Linked DNA regions of Rhinolophus ferrumequinum. The protein of the gene in region 2 interacts with the protein of the main gene of each other region in a pairwise test. Links are inferred from orthologs where the notes say so. Each region holds a gene or a part of one and is shown on either strand. Other genes may lie near its edges.

Evidence for each region.
Region 1: the proteins of MIF (region 2) and BNIPL interact in a two-hybrid assay, tested with the Homo sapiens proteins (2 studies listed by BioGRID and IntAct). The link is inferred for Rhinolophus ferrumequinum from reciprocal best matches to the Homo sapiens genes MIF and BNIPL.

Annotation. Positions count from the first base shown.
Region 1 is NC_046305.1:51,128,668-51,139,631, forward strand, and holds the start of BNIPL (bcl-2/adenovirus E1B 19 kDa-interacting protein 2-like protein), read left to right. Parts: upstream 1-6,698; 5' UTR 6,699-6,827; coding exon 6,828-6,871; intron 6,872-7,682; coding exon 7,683-7,772; intron 7,773-7,975; coding exon 7,976-8,040; intron 8,041-8,254; coding exon 8,255-8,479; intron 8,480-10,860; coding exon 10,861-10,964. Other genes in the region: exopolyphosphatase PRUNE1, read left to right, coding at 637-731, 2,358-2,516, 4,293-4,721. UniProt on the Homo sapiens protein: May be a bridge molecule between BCL2 and ARHGAP1/CDC42 in promoting cell death.
Region 2 is NC_046308.1:22,612,784-22,621,156, forward strand, and holds MIF (macrophage migration inhibitory factor), read right to left. Parts: upstream 3,032-8,373; 5' UTR 2,919-3,031; coding exon 2,811-2,918; intron 2,649-2,810; coding exon 2,476-2,648; intron 2,394-2,475; coding exon 2,327-2,393; 3' UTR 2,225-2,326; downstream 1-2,224.

The DNA of each region.
Region 1 (10,964 bases), on a different chromosome or scaffold from region 2:
TCATACTATGCGTAATGATTAAACTTCATGCTGGGGAGAACCGAGGTGGTGTGCGAGCGATCAGGCACTGATCAGTCGTTGACGGGATTGTTCTGTGTGAGCTGTTGTGGGGGAAGAGGAAGAGAAGGAGGAGGAGGAGGAATAGAGTAAGAGTCTCGGAGTTTCCAGTCTAATCAGAATATAGACATAGAAATAAAATATGCCAAAAGAATACTAAATTATCAGAGTGAGAGCTGGAAGCAGAAGAAATATACCAAAGTGAATATACCAAGGACAAAGAAAGAGAACAAAAAAAATCTTCCATAATTTTCTACCCAGCTACTACCTCTTGACGTATAGAAAGAAAAGTGCCACATGTACTTTTAGACAATGAAAAAAACACAGAAAGGGGGAGAATCCTAAGCAAAAGGCTCCCTTCTTCCTTTTATCCTTCTCTCTCTTGTTCTAATGGTAACTATTGTGACCCAGTAATTTAAAGTAATTTTGATTATCTAATGACATTCTCAGTTACCAGTCCTTTCATTGCCCCAAAGAGAGGCTGTGTTCTTCCTCTTCCTTGGCCCATCTTGGTATCCTCACCTTCCTGGTCTTAGGGCCCTGGGCTCTTTGACCCCAAGTCTCACATCTGCTTTCTAGGACTGACCACCGAGCAGATGCTGAGAAAGGACCAGAAGACCATCACCAGACAAGGCCTCAAGGTGGCCATTAGTGCAATATATGTGGACTTGGAGGTAAGAGCAAGGTGTAGCTGTGGTGGGCACGAAAACCTTCAGTTAGGGAGGTACTCTTGCCCCTCACGCCTGGCTCTCCTCCGGAGGACATCTCGTACCTTCCTGCGTCTCTCCGTCTCTGTCACTCCCACAGTTTCCTGGTTTTCCTGCCTGCACTTTTGCGCCCCTACAAACCATTCTCCCCACAGCAGCCGGAGCGATCTTGATACGTCAGGTAGATCACACCGCCCCTCCCTTTACCGCCTTTTCAGTGGACTTCTAATAACATGCAAAGGCCTGGCTGTGGTTACAGCGCCCTCCTTGGTCTGGCCCTTGTCTTTCTCTCCGACCTCACGTCACTCCAGCCCCACTTCCCCACTCCTGCCCTCACAGTACTGCAGCCACACTGGCTTGCTTTCTGTTCCTCGGCGCCATTAAGCTCATGCCCATTTCAGGGCCCTTGCACTCGCTTTTCCCTGTGCAGCGCCGGCTTCTCCGTCTCACTGAGCACAGGTGTCCCCTCTTTTAAGAAGTTCTTCCTGACCGTCCTCACTGAAATGATACCCTCCCCACTCAGAAATCTCTAGCACTTATCTTACTTTGTTTTCCTCGTAGCACTTAACACACTGGAATAATCATATTTCATGTTTTCCTTGCTTATTGTCTCTGTTCCTCTGCTGGTGTATCAGCCCCGCCAGAGGGAGGACCCTGCTTCTTGGGTTTGGTTGGGTTGTGTCTCTAGCACCTTTGCCAATGCCTGGCACTCAGTGGCTGCTCAATAAACTTTGTGAAATGGGTGAATGAGTAGAATTTTGATGCTTGATATCTGAAGTGGTATTTGAATTCCTGGTTCCACATCATATGGGTTTAAATCGTTCGACAACCTGATCTGAACACATACTCTCATAGTCTGCACAGCTTTCTACTAAATGCCGTGTACAAATGCTAAAACACTAAATAAAACAAAATAGCATGACCTCTTCCCTTACGACTCATAACCTAGTTTGGAAAACAGACATAAGAACTGAAAAGGCTTACCAAGTCCCATAAGCACAAAGCAAACTAACACATTAAAAGGGCCAAAGGGAGAGAGAAGCCATGATCAGAAACAGGTGGGGGTGCTCTCCATTGGGGGATCCACTGGGGGAAACACTGCGTGAGATGTTGGAGATGAGCATAGATTGGCAAAGGATGAAGAGCCAAGGATGCAGTTGTCACGTGTCTATTCTTATTTGTGTGCCCCGTTGTTCCATTTTGGAATTAAAATACCCAAACGGCAAAGACCTTTGATTGCAAGAACAGGGGAATTTTTGTAATTCCTAAAACAACCATGTTTGGTAAATGTTTCATCCTCACTTTACAGACGAGGAAACTTAAGTCCAGGGCGGTTAACCTAACTCTTTGAACATAATGCTTAGCTATAGGTAATAGAGCTGATTTTCAAACCAATTCTATCTGAACCCAAAGCCCATCTTCTCCCCACTCTACACACTGCCTCCCAGCACAGAGTACATCCAGGTACTTCTTCTGGCGTACCAGTCCCAGGGTAACGTGCAGAGAGAGAAACCCTTCCTAAGCGTGTTGTGTTGGTGGTGACAGTGAGGGGCCAGCTGTCGTCCTCAGCTCTGTCCATTTCTTCTCTTCCAGGCCTTCCTGCAGAGGTCTGGTCTCATTGCAGACCTCCGTGCTTACTGCCAGGCTCACAGCTACGATGCCCTGGTTGCCATGACGATCGTTTTCAACCCTCACAATGAGCCAGTGAGGCAGCTGGCTATTTTCTGTCCCCATGCAGCCCTCCGAATGACGGTGAGTCTCTGTCCCTTCTCCATCCCGAAGGCCCTGCGGCGCTCTGCCTATACGCGCTGCCCTCTGTGGTAAGACCTCTCCTTGGTTCTTATGTTGACACAGGTCCTTCGTATTCCCAAAATCTCCCCTCTCCGCTTTTTCCCATTCTCTACATACGTGAATACCCTTAATCATTGTTGAGAAAGGGAGATTCCAAAGAGAATTAGAGACACGGTTCCTACTTAGAAGGAACTTAAAATCGGCTTCAAAGAAAATAAATTTGGAGTTAAGACTTGGTGTAATCTTTGATTCCCACCCCTGAAAATCGATTCTTTCTTTTTTTTTTTTTTTTTTTACCCTATTGTCTTGAAAATGGAAACACAAGAGAAAGCTTTTCTGCTACTTACCTGTGCAGCAATTAATTACTCTTGTTTAGCGCTGACTGTTGAGAAGTGGTCTGGGAGCAGGTTTGTTTTCTTGCCTGATCTGCCATGTGGTCCCCTTGCCCTCCTCCTCCCCTTTCTTTTCCTCTGTTGGTTACTCATTAGCCCAGAGGAGAATTTAAAAGTGGACGTAAGGCGGTCCAGGGGCTCTTTGGGCTGCTTGGCTGTGTGAGAACTGCCAGACTGGTGACTACAGCCAGAGAACCCTCTGAGCCCGCGAAAGGTACGTCTGCCCCCCTCCACCTCTCTCTGCCTGCCTTCTCCTACAGGAAACAAGTGTCACTTCACTCAGTGGAAGGTAGTTTGGTCCTGTGGAAAGAACTAGTTTCTAAAGGCAGGTAGACATGCTTTTCTGTCTCCGTTTGCCACTTCCGTGCTCTTTGAGCTAAGGCAAGTCAGTTGACTTCTGAGTCTGTAAGTGGCATGATATTACCTACTCAGTAATCAGTCTGATGTAACATTAAACACAATATCGTGTAAAGTATATTGCTGGGCACAGTCAGCACTCGGTGCCAGGTGGCTCTTACCAGCGTGTCATGAAGGAAAGGGTCCCTCGGCTGATAGAAGTGCCTGTCCCCACTGTGTCCCCACCACAGCCTGGCTGTGCTGGGCCACAGGAGGCCTCTCCCACTGTCCGTGCCATTGCCGCTCTCCCTCTTGTTGGGACAGTATAACACAGCGATTTCGAGCATTGCCTTTGCTGACAGACCTAGGCTCCAGTGTCAGCTTTGCTTCCTTCAAGCTCTGACTTTAGCCAAGTTACCTAATCTGTCTAAGCCTCAGTTTCCCTCCCTGTAAATGAGAGTAATGGTAATACCAATCTTATAAGGGAGTTGTGAGGATTCCAAGAGAGACTATTGGTAAATGGCCAGACGTGGCACCGTGCCTGGCCTACGTCCCACCCCACTTTGATCTGTTCATTCATTCCGCCCTGATTCTTTCCCGACCTCAGTAGAGGTCTGTCCTGTCCCAGCTAAGGCTAGAGTTCAAGTTTTTGAGCCCAGGAATACACTTGGAAACAACAAGTATCCTCCTAACAACAAGTGTTAGGAGCTGGGGGGCCTGGGTTCTGGTTCAGATTCCACCATCATCTACACAATTTTGTTCATCTCTCGGGGCTTTGGTTGACTTCATAATAAAATGAAGTCTATGGTCTCAAGTGTTTCTTCTGTTTCTGAAATACTAGATGTATTAGCTGATGTGCCTTTGGTTGCAAGCAATGAAACTGAACTCTAGGTGACTTAATAAAAAAACCGTGTTCTCCTCTGTAAGAGAAGCCTGTACCTGGGAAGCCTCAGCTCTTTGCCTCAGCCACCGCCTTATATACCATTTCCCCATCTTGTCTCCCCTTTAGATCTGTGGGGTCCTGGAATGCTCCCAGTCTCCGTCCCTGAAGCTGACCCCTGTCCCAAGCAGCCACCCCAACCTCCAGGCCTACGTCCAAGGCAACACCCAGGTCTCTCGGAAGAAATTTCTGCCTCTGCTCCAGGAAGCCCTGTCAGCGTATTTTGACTCCATGACAATCCCTTCGGGGCAGCCTGAGACAGGGGGTGTGTCCAGGGAGCAGGTAGACAAAGAATTGGACAGGGCAGGTACCCCGCTGATTCCTGGACTGAGTCAAGATGAGGAGGACCCCCCACTGCCCCCCACACCCATGAACAGCTTGGTGGATGAGTGCCCTCTGGATCAGGGGCTGCCGAAACTCTCCGCCGAGGCCATCTTTGAGAAGTGCAGTCAGATCTCGCTGTCACAGACCACCGGTGCCTCCCTGTCCAAGAAGTGACTGTTGGGACAGGCGAGCATAGCGAGAGAAGTTGCTTGAACCATGTTTTGAGACGTTTGCATGTTTTGAGACGTTTCAGCAATTGTCTTCGTTGCTCCAGGATCTGGTGGATTGTGGTCATAAACCTGGGAGGAGAAAGAAGTACAAGAAAGCAGCTGCTTCAGGAGTGGCTTTCTGCCTTTCCACCCCCCCCACCCGTCTCTACCAATCAAATTTTATTATTTAATTTAATGATTTAAGTCTGCACTGACTCTCCTACATCTCATTTGCCAGGGGCACAGAGAACGTGTGCCCCAGAAGTGCCCTCCACGAGGCTCTTTCCGGTGTCTCATGGAACCACACGCTTACGGTCTCCATGTATTCACTTATTCTCTGGTGAAGTCAAGTATTTATTACTGAGCACCTACTTCAAGCTAGGTAGAAACATGGAGTGCTTTGGAAACTCTTCTTCCAGTTTTCAGCCGTTAGCAGATTTCCAACTTCGTGACCCCTCTCTCTGCCCCCAGCTAGGTAACGATGTCTGATTCTGAGGTGACGAAATTTCTGTTCTGAGCTTATTGTGACTCTTCCGGCATTACCGGGGAGCAGGGTAGAGGCCATTATCTTCTGTCCTGATCAGGTGGCCCGGCTCTCACTTTCTTTGGATTCCTCTCCCCCAAAGCCACGGGGAGCCTGAGGAGACCCAACAGACCCTGGTTCTGGAGTGCTCTGGGCCTAAGACTTCATAGACTCTTCCCAAAAGCCAGCAGAACTGCGTTAAGAGCCCGGGCTCTGTCCCCAGCCTTAGTGGGTCTGTCAGTTTCTTGTCTGTGTTATTCTCTTGCTCATATTAAGAGGAAGCCTGGAGTTCTGACACCAGCTGCCATGAACCATGAGTCTTTTGCGACGCTTTGTCTCTCTAGGTCTCATTTTCCCATCTATAACACCATGGACCTGGACGCAAACCTCTCTCGCGTTCTGTGATCTGCCTCTTGCCGCCATCCTTTCTCTCTGCATCTCTGAATGTTTTGGGTTTTATTTTTCTGTTTTCCCTGGGAATGCTCGGGGTCACCAGATTGTCTGTATTTATACGTGCTTGTGCCAAGGGACTCGGTCGGCCTCATGTAGCATGTACAGAGGTGCGTCTCAGACCTTAGTGACCGGCTGAGAGCTCCCTCCCCTGACTTGTTCGGCGTGTAGTCTCCTTTTCTCTTCAGACCTGTCCCCCTGTCCCCCCGACCCCCCGCAGCTCTATTCCACATAAGTTGCCAACAGTTTCACTGAGTAGTGGGGGGGTGTGACGCGTGGCGTCTTCATTGTAATGGGGGGCGGGCGGACTTCCTGCGGGGATGATGTGTGTAGCCATTGGAAGGTGAAAATAGTCGTGTGATTACTGAACCAAAAGAGTTTATGTTTTGTAATTTGGGTACTTTATTTTGCATTTTGTTAAAGTATTAAATTTTTTTTTCCTGTTTGGGGTCGTATTGTCTCTTTTTACAACTTATAATCAGGCCTTTGCCTCAGATCACTGTTTCAGCCTCCTCAAGTTTCATCTCCCTTCTTCCTGCTCTACTTCATGTTTTCCTTCCGTTGACTCTTTAGGAATAAGGCACAACAGTCTTCTGTCTCTCGTCACCCTCAGCCTTGCCTTTCATTTGTTTCTTCCTCCAGAACCCTCCTGAAAACATACTTCTGTGTTGCTGATTTTGCTTATGCTCAAAAGGTAGGGCCAACATAGTCTTAAAACCAAAGTGGGTTTTACTGTTGCCTTTTTGTCTTTTTTTTTTTTTAAGCAGCTTCCAGGTTATGAGGAGTCTGAGGAGGAGAACAAGTGGCCTTACTACATAAACCTCTACCCCCCCCCAAGACTAGCCCCTTTAGAAAATGTACTCTCCTCCCCCAAACCCGCCCCCACTTAGGCAGGGTTATTCTTTTGGGTGAACCTGCTCCTTGGGAAGGGAGGTGGCAAAACCTGTTTGAAGGTGAGGTTCCCTCCCTTCTACCCCTTCCTTCTGAGGCAAGAGCAACAACAGCTGAGAGAGAAAAGGGTACAGAAGTGCTGGGGAGCTGGGACCACCGGCTGCCTAGAAGTCCAGGTGTGTAAAGGAGACAGGAAGATTTGGGAAGATGGAAACTATAGTGGAGGCAGGAGAAAAGACATTGGATCTCGGGTAAGTAAGATCTTGGTTAACTCAGTTGGAAAGAAGTGAATGGTCTTAGGGGATATTCCCACCACCCAGCTCTTACCAGGTCTGATCTTGGGTTCCTAGAGGCAATAAGACTAAGAATTTGCAGGGAAGGCATGGGGGTGGCTTTAGGTAGGAAATGTTGGAATGGTATGGGAACAGGGGAGGCCAGGGTAATTCCCTGTGCGTGTGTGTGTGTGTGTGTGTGTGTGTGTGTTTGAAGGAAATACTCTGTGTGATAAATCTGCCCCTGTTCTCTGTTTTCTGACCCTCACCCTCCAAAATGGCTATTCTCTAGGAAAGCAGACCTAGAATTAAATTAGGTCCGGGTTCTCCTCCCCAGCAAATCTTTCTTCTTACCTTCTTCCTCCACCCATGCCATGGTTTCCCCTGGCCACTCCCAACATGGTGGAGGAAAGGCAGGCCTGACCAGGTGCCATGTGACTGGGGCAGGTCTGTTGGGTTCCAGCCAATTGTAATGAGAAACACTCTCACCCCTACTGTGTAGGTGGAGGGACTGCCACAGATGTAACTGATTAGCTTTGTGTTCTATCCTTCCTCTGCTCCTCAGCGCAAATGAGGGGTGATCTGTTTCTAGCCAGTGGTGAAGTGGGTGGAAACATCTGCCTAGGAGACAAGAGATCTGACTTCCTTTTAGGGCCTGCCCTCTGCCCGGCACCTGAGTCACTATTCTCCATCCCAGGGTCTCCTACCTCCCATCCAGTTCCCTTAAGACACTGCTTAGTTTGCTTCATGGTAATCTTTTCTTTTGGGGGGTGGGGGGACTTACGGTCAGGGAGAATGCAGAAGCGACAGGACTAGGAGCACCGCTGAGACTCGAGGGACTGGATCTGAAGGAGGAATGGCAGGATGAAGAATTCCCTAGGTGAGGAGGTGTGAGGGAGGCTGGGAGAAGGGGGGTGGTCACAATGGAGGGCAGGGAGGGTAAGCCAGGACTTGAAGGAAAGACGCTGGATAAAGAAAGCGGAGGTGATGAAATTGTGGCGGGGAGAGAGAATGGGTCAATCAATATCTGGCTTGATGCCTTTAGCCTGTGTTTCTTCCCCCTTTTAATCTTTTCCCTTCTAGATTGCTTCCTGAAGCAGCTGACCCTTCCGAAGATACTGATAGTCCTGAAAGTGACTCACAGGCAGGTAGGAAAAGTCAATCCTAGGCCTCAAATTCTTGATTCAAATCTAGTGAAGGGTTATGCCACCCGTATCCCTTTGCAATTTTAATTCCCTTTCCCCAAACGTCCTGTGTTGTCTCCGTATTATCACTTCCATCTACACAGGAATTCTAACCTCCCCCGCTAACACATACACACATCTTTTTATTTTTTTGTCCCCTCACCCTCCTCCAACCCAGGTACCCCCAGCACGTTAGCCCTGTGTGGCCAGCGCCCCATGCGTAAGCGTCTTTCTGCCCCAGCGTTGCTACTGAATCTGACGAAAGGGCCGGGAGATAATGGAGCTTCTCCTCTCCACTCTGTACCTTCCTCTCCCGGTGGCAGTTCTGACCTGGAAGTAGACGAATTAGAGACACCTTCAGACTCGGAGCAGCTGGACAGTGGACATGAGTTTGAATGGGAAGGTGGGAAAGACACCTGAGGGCTGAGCTGGTAGAAGTAGAGGCCAGTTAAAGAAGCTCGGGATGGATTTAGTGGGACTGAAGTTAGAACTAACAAGGAGGGGACTGAGAAGTGAGGTCAGCAAAATCGATTTCCTCAGAATAGAAAGCTAGAGCCCAGAGATCCAATGCAAGAGTGTCAGCAGAGGGGGGCTGGGGTCCTTTTTTATTAAGGAAAACTGTTGAATGACTGTTACATGCCATCACTGAGCTGGAACCGGAGATATAAAGTCCCCACCCTCAGGCACTTCTCTGTTTAGTAAGAAATGAGCATAAATAGAAGGAAGTGCAGTTCCAGCTTATGACCTTCACATGTCCAGGGTACAGTTCAGGCCGGGAGGGGGAGATCAGTGCTGCGGGAGAGGCACGAGGAAAGACCACAGAGGAGGTGACTGACAGCTGTCCGTCACGTAGTCGGACAGGCATTCTAGCTGGAAGAGGCGATTGGGGCAGCGGCATGGCATTTGGGGAATTCCAAGTCTCAAGCATGACTATTTAGATATTAAGGAAAATTTGGTTTCTTCTCTACTCTCAACACTTCTGAGACCAACTGTGTGGGTTTTCCCCACATCAATTCTCCAGCTCTCCAGACAGCAATTAAGTTAGAACATGAACCACCTGGAGTTAGCGCAGACCCCAAGGTTAAGGGTCAGTCCCCCAAGACTGTCCCCCTCCCCGCACTTCAAACACCAGTCACATGTCCAGGTCATCACCTGTGCTGGCCACTCACTGCCCCCTGCTCAGGTTCGATAATTTGCTAGAATGACTAACAGAACTCAGAAAAACAATTTCCTTACTAGATTACAGATGTATTGTACGAGGATGCAACTCAGGAACAGCCAGAAGGAAGAGATGTGTAGGACAAGGTGTATGGGGAGGTGTGTGGAGCTTCCACGCCCTCTGAGCACCCCCATGTGTTTGTTCACCGACCCAGAAGCTCCCCGAACCGCCTCCGCTAGGGTTTTATGGAGGCTTCATTGTGTGGTCACGACTGATTGGTTCACTGGCCATTAGTGATTAACACAACCTAGTCTCTCTCTCCTCCTCAAAGGTGCAACCCTCTAATAACAAGGATGGTTCCCCTGGCAACCAGCCACTCATCCTTAGGGGCTTTCCAAAGTCACCTTATTAATAAAAACCCATGTGGTTGAAAGGCGCTGGTTATGAATAACCAAATGTACTCCTTTCATGTTTCTCATCCACTGTTTCAGGAGGCAGGGACAAAACAAAAATATATATTGTGTCTCAGATATGAAAGGTTGGGAGGTGAAGAGACAATGACAAAAGATAGTGCTATGTTAAGTCAGCAAGGTCAAATAGCGGAGAGTCTTGCTGCCCTGCTAAGAAGTGTAGATTTTATCTTTTATCTTTAGATGGGGAGTCATTGAATGGTTTTCATCAAGGGAGTGACGTGATCAGAATTAATCACTCTGGAAAGATCCCTCTGTAGGGTATCAGTCCTATTTATGGTGCAGCCATACAATGGAATACTAAGTACTAGGCAGCTATTTTTTAAAATGAGGTGGGCATAGTATTGTCATTTGGGTGAAAAAGGTAGGGGAGAAAAGAAAGCTTGCTCTGGCAGTCGTGTAGAGGGTGCAGTGGAAACCAGACCAGAGGCAGGAAGACCAGTTAGGAGGCGAGAACAGGCTAGGTGAGAAATACTAAGACGCCGAACCAGGACAGTAGCAGCGGAAGGAGTGATAAAAGTGTAATGGAGGCAGAGGGAAGAGGACCCAGGCTCCACTTGGCTCGAGGGCTGATAGAGGAGAGTCTCGGATGATGTACAGATTTCTCTCTCAGGAAGCTGGATGGACCCAGTCCTTCACTGAGAAAGGAATCTGAGAGAGGAAGAAGAGCAGAGTCTGAGTTGCTCTTGGGGTCTGGTGACTTGGAGGTGACAGAGAGATGAGTAGAGGTGTCCCGTGTAGGCACGCGGGGATGTGGGTCTGGAGAGAAGCCTGGGTGACAGAGGCGAATCTGGGGGTCATCACCTTACGCTGCTAATGGAAGACATGGGAATAGATGCGCTCACCCAAAGAAAAGCATGGAAAGAGGAATAAAGAATCCGGAAAAAAGAAAACAAAAACTGATACTGGCAAGGGCCATAGACCTACCACAGGGCAAGGTTGCCTCAAGGGCACTGTCTACTGCAAAAGTGACGATGATGAGTCATAGAGAGCCACCAGCAAGGGGTTGGCTGTATTGGACAAACGAGGGCTAGCATCATGGGGAAGGAACTGAGGGATGAGAGGGTGAGGCAATAAGCTAGAAAACGGGGGACGTTCACGATGCTGAGGGTGTGTATTCTGCCCTGTTGACCCTTCCCCATCCCTCCGTTTTAGACGAGCTGCCCCGGGCAGAGGGCCTGGGGGCCAGTGAAGCCGCTGAAAGGCTGGGCCGGGGTTGCATGTGGGATGTGGCTGGAGAAGACGGTCATCGCTGGAGG
Region 2 (8,373 bases):
GCCACTAGAGTAACACTTTATCTGTTCCACACCTCAGTTTGCGGTGTTATTTGGAAATGAGTTTTTGCTGCCATTCTGAAGGCTGACCACACTCCTGTGGGCCCTAGAGCCACTGCAGTTTGAGGGACAGGCTGCTCGATGAGCAGTGAAGCCCATGCTTTGGAGGAAATGGGGCTGACGAGGGAGTGACTCGGGTGGGGAGAGGATATGAAACGAGGGTGGGGTGCAGGGCTGGCTATTAGCTCCAGGGGACTTGGGAGCATGGTGGGGAGAGCCAAGAATATAGGTCCCTTTTTCCTTTCCAAGGAGCCATTACCTTGCAGGTGTCCCAGCTGGCCACTGAACCTGACACTTCCAGATTCGTGAGGGGCAGCTCAGATCCAAAAGCTAGGCTTAAATGAGTGGGACCTTTGGCTGCAGCTGGGGCCATGCTCCCCATCCCAACAGAGATGGGTGTTGGCCTCCACAGCCTTTCATCCAGGACAGAATGACCCTGAGGTAAACTGGAGCAAGCCCCTCAGAGTCTTTTGTGGAAGTGGAGTGTCTCCCCACCAAAGATAGGTCACATCCTTCCAGGCTCCCCCAAGCTGATTCTCCTTTCTCACTGCTTTTCTGGAAATAAACCCTTGCTGCCCAGCGGTAAGATGACTGAGGCTGAGTGGGGAGAGCACCCCCAGCACCTGGACTGAAAAGAAGTAATCCTCAGGCATCTTGATGAGCAAGCTGGCAAAGGTAGGCTGCCCCCGAGGACAGACATCACAGCCACGAATGCTGTGATGGAAGAGAGGCAGGGAGGGTGTGGATCCATGTGGAAAGCACCAACTAACTGAGCTCAGCAGCCCTGGGCCGGGGTTGTTCTAAAGTTGCCATAATCAAGCCTGGGCTGTGCACCCAGAGCTTTCTGCCCATGCCTCCTGGGTATTCACAGTGACACCACATAGTTGACAGGCACAAGGGCAGGGCCACTGGCAGCCATCCTAAGGAAGGAGTCACTTCCTTAGGAGTCACTGCCTGTGGCTCAGGCAGGCCTGCTCGTCACTCCCAACGTCAAAAGGGCAGTAACAGTCTTCAAAGGCTTGGCCCAGGAAGCAACCCTTATCCCTAGTTTCCAAACTCAAATTCACTTAAACTCCATGGAATTTTAAAAATCACCTTCCAAGTAGGACGTCCTTGGCCAGATAGAAGCTGAAGAAGAACAAGGGCTATCAACAGCTCTGGGCTACCAGGAGTCCAGAGGTGAGGCCCCACCTTTACCAAGCCCCAAGGAACAGTGTTCACACAGCCCAAGGAGCCCCCTCTGTGCAAGCCGCTGAAGTAAACTTGACTTCTCCCACAGAGCAGGCAGTGCAGGAAGGGCCAATCTGGTCCTTCACTTTGGGCGACACAGGTGCTGACCCTAGCCGACTAGTGCCAGCTCCAAGCAGGTGAATCCCCAATGCCAGTGGCTGGCCCTTGCTTGGCCATTTGCCTGGGCACATCACGACTCTCACATCATCGGGTGGCGAGGCATTCCAGCCCAAGTCAACTGGCCTGGGCAAGGAGCACTTCCCAGCCAGTAGGATGGGCAACAGGGCAGCCAAGGACCCTGTGGTCCAGGTGTTGGCACTGAAATTGCCCACCATCCTATTACTATCCCCACAAAGGAGCCCCCACACTTGACTGGAGGGATCCTCAGCCAGAAGACTCCAGGCCCAAACAATGGGATTTTCCAGATCAAGAAACTGGGGCACCAGCCTAGCAGAATGACCTGGGACGAAGGGGGGGGGCCTCTCTCCTCAGGGTACCCTTTGCCCAACTGGAAGATGGAAGGGGAAAACGGGGCTGAGAGAAAGGTCCAGGACCAGCTGATCCTACAACCTCTCAGGCTAATCAGATTTGGAGCCCAACCCCTCCCTTCCCCCCACCTTCCCTGCCAGACCTAGCCCACGTGGTGGCCCTGCCCCTGCGGATGGGAGACTCAACTCTGGGGGGAGACTCAACTCTGGGTTCCTTCCCAGCTGTCATAAACCTGCCGTGGGAGGCTTCCATTTTAGTTTCATTCCTGGGTCTGTGGCCAGGACAGGATGCCAACCAAGACTGGGCCTTCTGCTGGGGGCGCAGGAGGGAAAGACTGAGCAAAAAGCACCGGGCAGCAGATTCTGAGGGGGCACCTCTCCCAGCCTTGGTTCTCCACTGTCCCCGCCCCCTAGAGATGCCTCCATAAGCCAAGGAAGTCCGAGGCAGCCGCGTTCTCCAAACCGTTTATTTCTCTCGACCGGGAGGTGGGAGCACGGCGGGCAAATACCGCAGGCGGCAGGGCCTGGTGCAGGCGGGTCCCGGGCAGCCCTCAGGCGAAGGTGGAACTGTTCCAACCCACGTTGGCCGCGTTCATGTCGTAGTAGTTGATGTAGATCCTGCGAGGGACAGAAGTCGAGCTGAGCTGGCCGTGCGGTCGCGGGCCGCGCGCCCCCTGCCCCCCGGCGCCCCCTACCGCACCTGTCCGGGCTGACGCGCAGGCGCTCGGCCAGCAGGCCGCACAGCAGCTTGCTGTAGGTGCGGTTTTGCGCGCCGCCGATCTTGCCGATGCTGTGCAGGCTGCAGAGTGCACAAGGCTCAGTGGAGCCACCGAAGGCCATGAGCTGGTCCGGGACCACGTGCACCGCGATGTACTGGGGGGAGAGGAAGAGAGGGCGCGGTCAGAGGATCCGAGCGACCTCGCCGGGCCCGGGGCGCCCCCCGTCCCTTCCCCGCCCGGAGTCGCCTCCCTTCGCCCCAGCTCGGGACCACCTCGGCCGACGGGCACCCCCTCTTCCTGTTCCCTCCCGGCTAACCTGGGCCGGCTTGCCAGTGGCCTGCGCCAACTGCTGGGTGAGCTCGGAGAGGAGCCCGTCCGGCACGGAGGCGCGGGGCACGTTGGTATTCACCACGAACATCGGCATGATGGAGGGATGGCAGGAATAGGGCACAGGAACGGAAATGCGCGGGACTGCAGCGGGAGAACCTGAGCTACGTGACCAACGCCCGCCGCAACTTCAGGGCAGCTGCGGTCCCGCCTCCCATGACGCAACCGCCGGCGGAGGCCCCGCCCCCGTGAGGCCGCGGCTCCCTCCCGACTGGTGACGTCGCGCCGGGCAGGACTCCGGAAGGGTGGGCCTGCCCGTCCTCCAGCGAAAGCCATAGCCCCGCGCAACCCCTCAAAGCCTTTCTCCACTTGGCTGTCTGAAATCTGCCTGTCCCTCGTTTTTTATCAGTCCTTTCATTTAGTTACTGATATTTACGCAGTGACCTGTATGTGCCTGGAGCTGGGACTACAGCAGTCAATAGGACAGATGGTCCCTGACCCTCCAGGGGCTCAGAGCTGGCCCAGTAGCTGAGGTCGTAGCTCATTCCATCTCACACTCACTGAGCTCTTGTGTGTCCTGAGTCCCCAGGGCAACATGTCCCCAAGAACTACAGTCCTGTGTGTATGTATGTATGTGAGAGAGAGAGATTGCTGTAGGTGGGAAGAAAGATGCCACAAGGGAGTCAACATCCAGCTCCGTTCCCTCCACTCCCCTCTCCCTTTCAGAGTGAGAGAGCATGCTGGGAGGCTCCAAGGGGAGGGGCAGAGAGTAGGAGGTGAGGCCCAGACAGAGCTCCATGGGCCAAAGGCAGCAACAGCCTGAGAGCCTACCCCCAACTTGAGGTGCCCTGGGCAACTTCTCTGCAGGTCTGGAAACTTCAGCTCTTCAGGGAATCCCCACCCTAGTCAGGCCCTCTAGGATGCCCTCTCAGACATCTTTGTCTTTTCACTAACTGTCAGCTCAGTGGACATCTAGTGGATACCAAGCACACACGACTAAATACTGGCTGAATGAATGAATGGGTGAATGAAGACAGCCATGACACAGCAGGAAGAGGACAGGGCAGCAACAAAGGCCAGGGATGAGCCTGCAGGCCCTGTCATCACTGAGTAGAAGGACCTGTGGCTAAGTGGCCACCCCCATTCCATCTCTGAGGAACCCCCGGTCAAGGTGTCACACTGGGGAATGGATCTCTCTCAGGTGCTGGAGGAGGCATGCTGCATTTGGCCAAGTCCTCAGAGCTCTCCAGGAAGGTCCTGTCCTTGGTCTCTGGTAGGTGCAATCGGTTAAGGTGGCATGGTACAAACTGGCCTTGATGATGGCCACTGATGCACTGATGTACTCCATGCCATGTGTCATGCGGGGTCCCAGCTCCTGCTCCCCACCCAAGAACGCAGGATATGGTGAGGCCAAAAAGGAACACCAACGGAGCCATGGATAGGGGAGTCATACCACTATATTCTCGCTGGCGGCTGGGTTGGAGACACAGGAAGCAGGAGCCACACTATCCGCAATCTGCCGTCCACTTCTCTGCCAACCAACCAACCCACCCCCGCCCCCAGCACAGCCACGGCAGTTATATCAGTGACCAATGGCTAAACGGCAACAGCTGAATGGCTACCCAGCCACAGCGGATGGCCATCTGATCACAGCTGATGGCCGTCCAATAACTGAGCCAGCATCTTTCCACGTGAGGCCAAGAGCCTAGAAATTGCTCTCCGGGACTCTGTCCCCACACTGTGTCTCCTGCCCAGGAGGCTCTTCTGAGTCCTAACAGCCAACTCAGCATTTCCTGCTTTTATGTCCAAATCTAAGCGCATTTCTTTTCCTCCCACACCTGACTGCCTGCCAGTGAAATGTACCTCCCTCCACTGTCCCTTTATCCTCACTTCTCTCCACCCACCTCGTTACCACCACCTTAGTCTAAGCTAGCTGGCATCACCTTTGGCCTGGCTTGGACTCTGGAGAGAAGCCCATTTCCCTGACCCTGGCAGCAGATCTGGCCATGTAATTTCCCTTGCCCAGTGAAATGTGAATAGAAGTGACATGAGTGACTCCAGACAGAAGATTCAAGAGCCAGCACCTGTGTGGGGACAGAGCCCACAGTTTCCAAGGTCTCGGCCTCACGTGGAAAGGTCCTGGCTCAGGTAGTAAATGGCCAACAACTGTGCTTGGATGGCCATCAGCTGTGGCTGGTTGGCCGTCAGCTGTAACCAGTGAGTCACTGGCCATTTATATAACTGCCGTGGCTACGCTAGCAGGAAGTGGTGGCTAGCAAGAAGATGGTGGCTGACAAGCACGGATTGCAGTTAGCACGGTGGAGTGCGGGTTGCAGATTGCAGAGAAGTGGACGGCAGGTTGCAGATCGTGTGGCTCCTGCTTCCTGTGTCTCCAACCCAGCCGCCAGCGAGAATATAGTGGTCTGACTCCCCTATCTATGGCTCCGTGGGTGTTTCTTTTTGGCCTCACCATGTCCTGTGTTCTTATGTGGGGAGCAGGACCAGAGACCCCACATGACACCCTGCATGACAACCTGGTTTGCTGCTATCTGAGATAATGAGAGTGGGTGATAAGGTGGAGCCTGGCCAGCAAACACCCATAATGCTCCTGTGGTTGAGCCACTGCCATTTTCAGGTTATAGTAGCATAGGGGGGGACACCCCTGATCAGAACAGCCTCTGAGCCATTTGCCATCAGCTCTTACTCTCCCCCAACCTGTTTCCAATAGTGAACACCAATTTTCTGTGGAGGTGCTATGATTCCCACCTCCCCCTCTTATTAGCGTGGACATTTGGCTAACCTCTATAAGCCTCAATTTCCCCAATTTCCCCTGTAATTTGGGGATGACAGCAGTGTCCACCTTACAGGGGGGTGTTGTGAGGACCAAGTGGCCTAAATACTGGTGACAGTCACTTCTGATAGAAGTAGTATTGTCACAATGCCCTGGGTGACCTCCCTGCCTACATCTTGCACCACACTCTTGTTCTCTGGTCTTGTGCACTGCCCTTCAGTGCCATGCTGCTGGCTCCTGATTCCTGGCTCTTGGCTCAGGCATTGGTCCTGAAATTAGGTTTGCCCACACTTTCCTTCGTCTGACTTGGACTCAGTTCCTTGGGAAAGCCCTCAGAGCTCCTGGCTCTGTCGGGTCCTGTAATGTGCCAAGCATCTGCCCTGTCCTTCGAGGCCATCACCACATTTCTATCTGTGAGGTAACCATCCTTTCTAGGCGGTAAATCCATGAGAATGGAGACCATTGCTGTCTGCGTACCTTCTGACCTGGTACCTCAGTGGTAGCCAGAGAGCCTCCAAATATGTCCACACTCCAATCCCCAGAACCTGGGAATATGTTAGGTTACATGGCAAAAGGCACTTCACAGATGTTAATTAGGGTTATGGGATATAATTAGGGAGATTATCATGGATTATCTGGGTGGGTCCAATGTAAGAGGTCACATGACCCCTTAAAAGCAGAAAATTTTTTCCAGCTAGTCAGATGCAGCAGAACGGGATGTCAGAGACTCGAAGCAGAAGGACTCCGTGTGCCGTTCCTGACTTTGAGGTTGAAGGGGACCTCAGCCAACTGCAAGGAGCTGAATTCTGCCAACAACCTGAATGAACATGGAAGTAGGCTCTTCCCAGTTGACCTGAGACACCTTGACGTCAGCTGTGTGAGACCTTAAGCAGAAGACCCAGTCACGCCGTATTGGGTGACTGACCCACAGAAACTGTGAGATAATAAATGTGTGTTGTTTTAAGCTGCGAAATTTATGGTGATTTGTTCTAGGAGCAATAGAAAAGTAATACACCTGGCATCAATAGGGTTCAATAATTATCGGCTGAGAAACAGGCACCAGGTGGCGTTTTAGCAGATGTGGCCGCCGCCCTGCCTGAGACCCTCCTCTCTTTCCTCCTCACTGACAGAATCCCAGTTCTCTTTGGTTAGAACATTCGCTGCCCCAGAGCCCCTGGCAACCAGGTGTGGCTGTTTGAGGCAGCTGTGGCTCACGTACTGTGTGGGGTTGATGGGGAAGCAGCTGCTTTGCTGACGGAGGTGTCACCCTACCCCCTTCCTCTTGCTCCCGCCTGCAGTTTGGATATAACCCCCGGTTGTGTGGCATCTGTTGAGCAACCAGAGCTGAAAAAACACAGGCAAAGGAGAAGGAGTGGTAAACCAAGGGAGCCTGGGGCTCTGACAGCTCTGCCCATTGACAGCTCTTCAGCTGCCATTTGGTTAAAGAAGAGAAATAAACCCCTCTCTGTTCAAAGCACAGCTTGTCAGAGTTTCAAGCCCAGTGCAATTCCTGGCTGTTGCAGAGGACTGCTTCAGTGTCACATCCTGTGTAAGGGCTGTTGGACAGGGAAGGGGGTGGGAAGAAAACCTCACGAGGTAGGGAGATGTCACGAGATGAGGAGAACTGTAGCGCACACTGAGTACCCGGCAGACCCTGCAAGTGGGCAGCCAGCTCTGGGTTGAACAGCTCCAAGGGCAGGACCTGAGTTACCTGAGTTACCCGTGCTGGAGGGAGGAAGGCCGTGGTAAGGGAGAGCCTGCAGCTCCCCTCGAGTACGACCCGCTTATCCCCTCGCTGCCTTTCCCTGACGTGGACCGGTCATCACTCCACGTCTGTGGATGGCGGCCCACCTTCCCACCACTCCCACTGCCCCCTCACCAGCCTCATGTCCCTCAGCATCCCGCCCCAGCCATGATTCATCACTCCCTCCTGCCCCAACAACCCAGGCAGCCCTGGCCCCTGACCATCCCCCATTCGCCAGTCCCCTTGCCCTTTTTCACTCAATGTGGTAAAAGTTGCAGCAAAGACAAGCAAAGACACCCTATCCCCCTTTAGTCATAGTGGAAGAAGACCTGGGGGGTCGTCACCCCACTGATGACCCCTACCCAGCCATACGTAAAGGTACAGGACTGTAAAGACGGGTGTCTGCCAGGAGACCACTGTCGCGTCCTGCATGACAAGAGCTATGGGAAGCAAGAAGGGCTGCGCAGGGTTAAGAAAGACAGTAGCCAAGAGTAGAGTGCAAGCTGGGCCAAGGGACTCAAGTCTCAAGGACTGAGCTCCGAATCGGGCCAACGCATGGCTTTTATTAGTAATCATACAAGGAAGTAAAGTTTGATTTTTCCATGGTCCACAAGTCACGTGCCTGACTGCTGTTCTTCCCGAAAGCCCCCATCGTGCTCCAACACGTACTGTGCCTTCACACACACACGTATAACTCCAGGGAATGGAATCACTGTACTGAAACCATCAGATAAGAGAGCCTGACCGAGATTATTCCATCGGTTTCCAGCTTTCTGGGACCCTCCCCCAAAGAAGCTTTACCGACATTATTCCATCGGGTCTCAGCTTTCTGAGACACTTCCTTGCGATGTCATGGGGAAGGCGTGGGGAACACACAGTTCGGCAGCTATAAGGCAACGGATCACCACACTGCAGAGAAAGGCCCAGGGGTCACGGCCAGCAGAGTGATCCGGACTGAGTCACTTAAACCCACTGAGCTGCATTTTCGTCATCTCAAAATGGAGATGGTAATTTCTT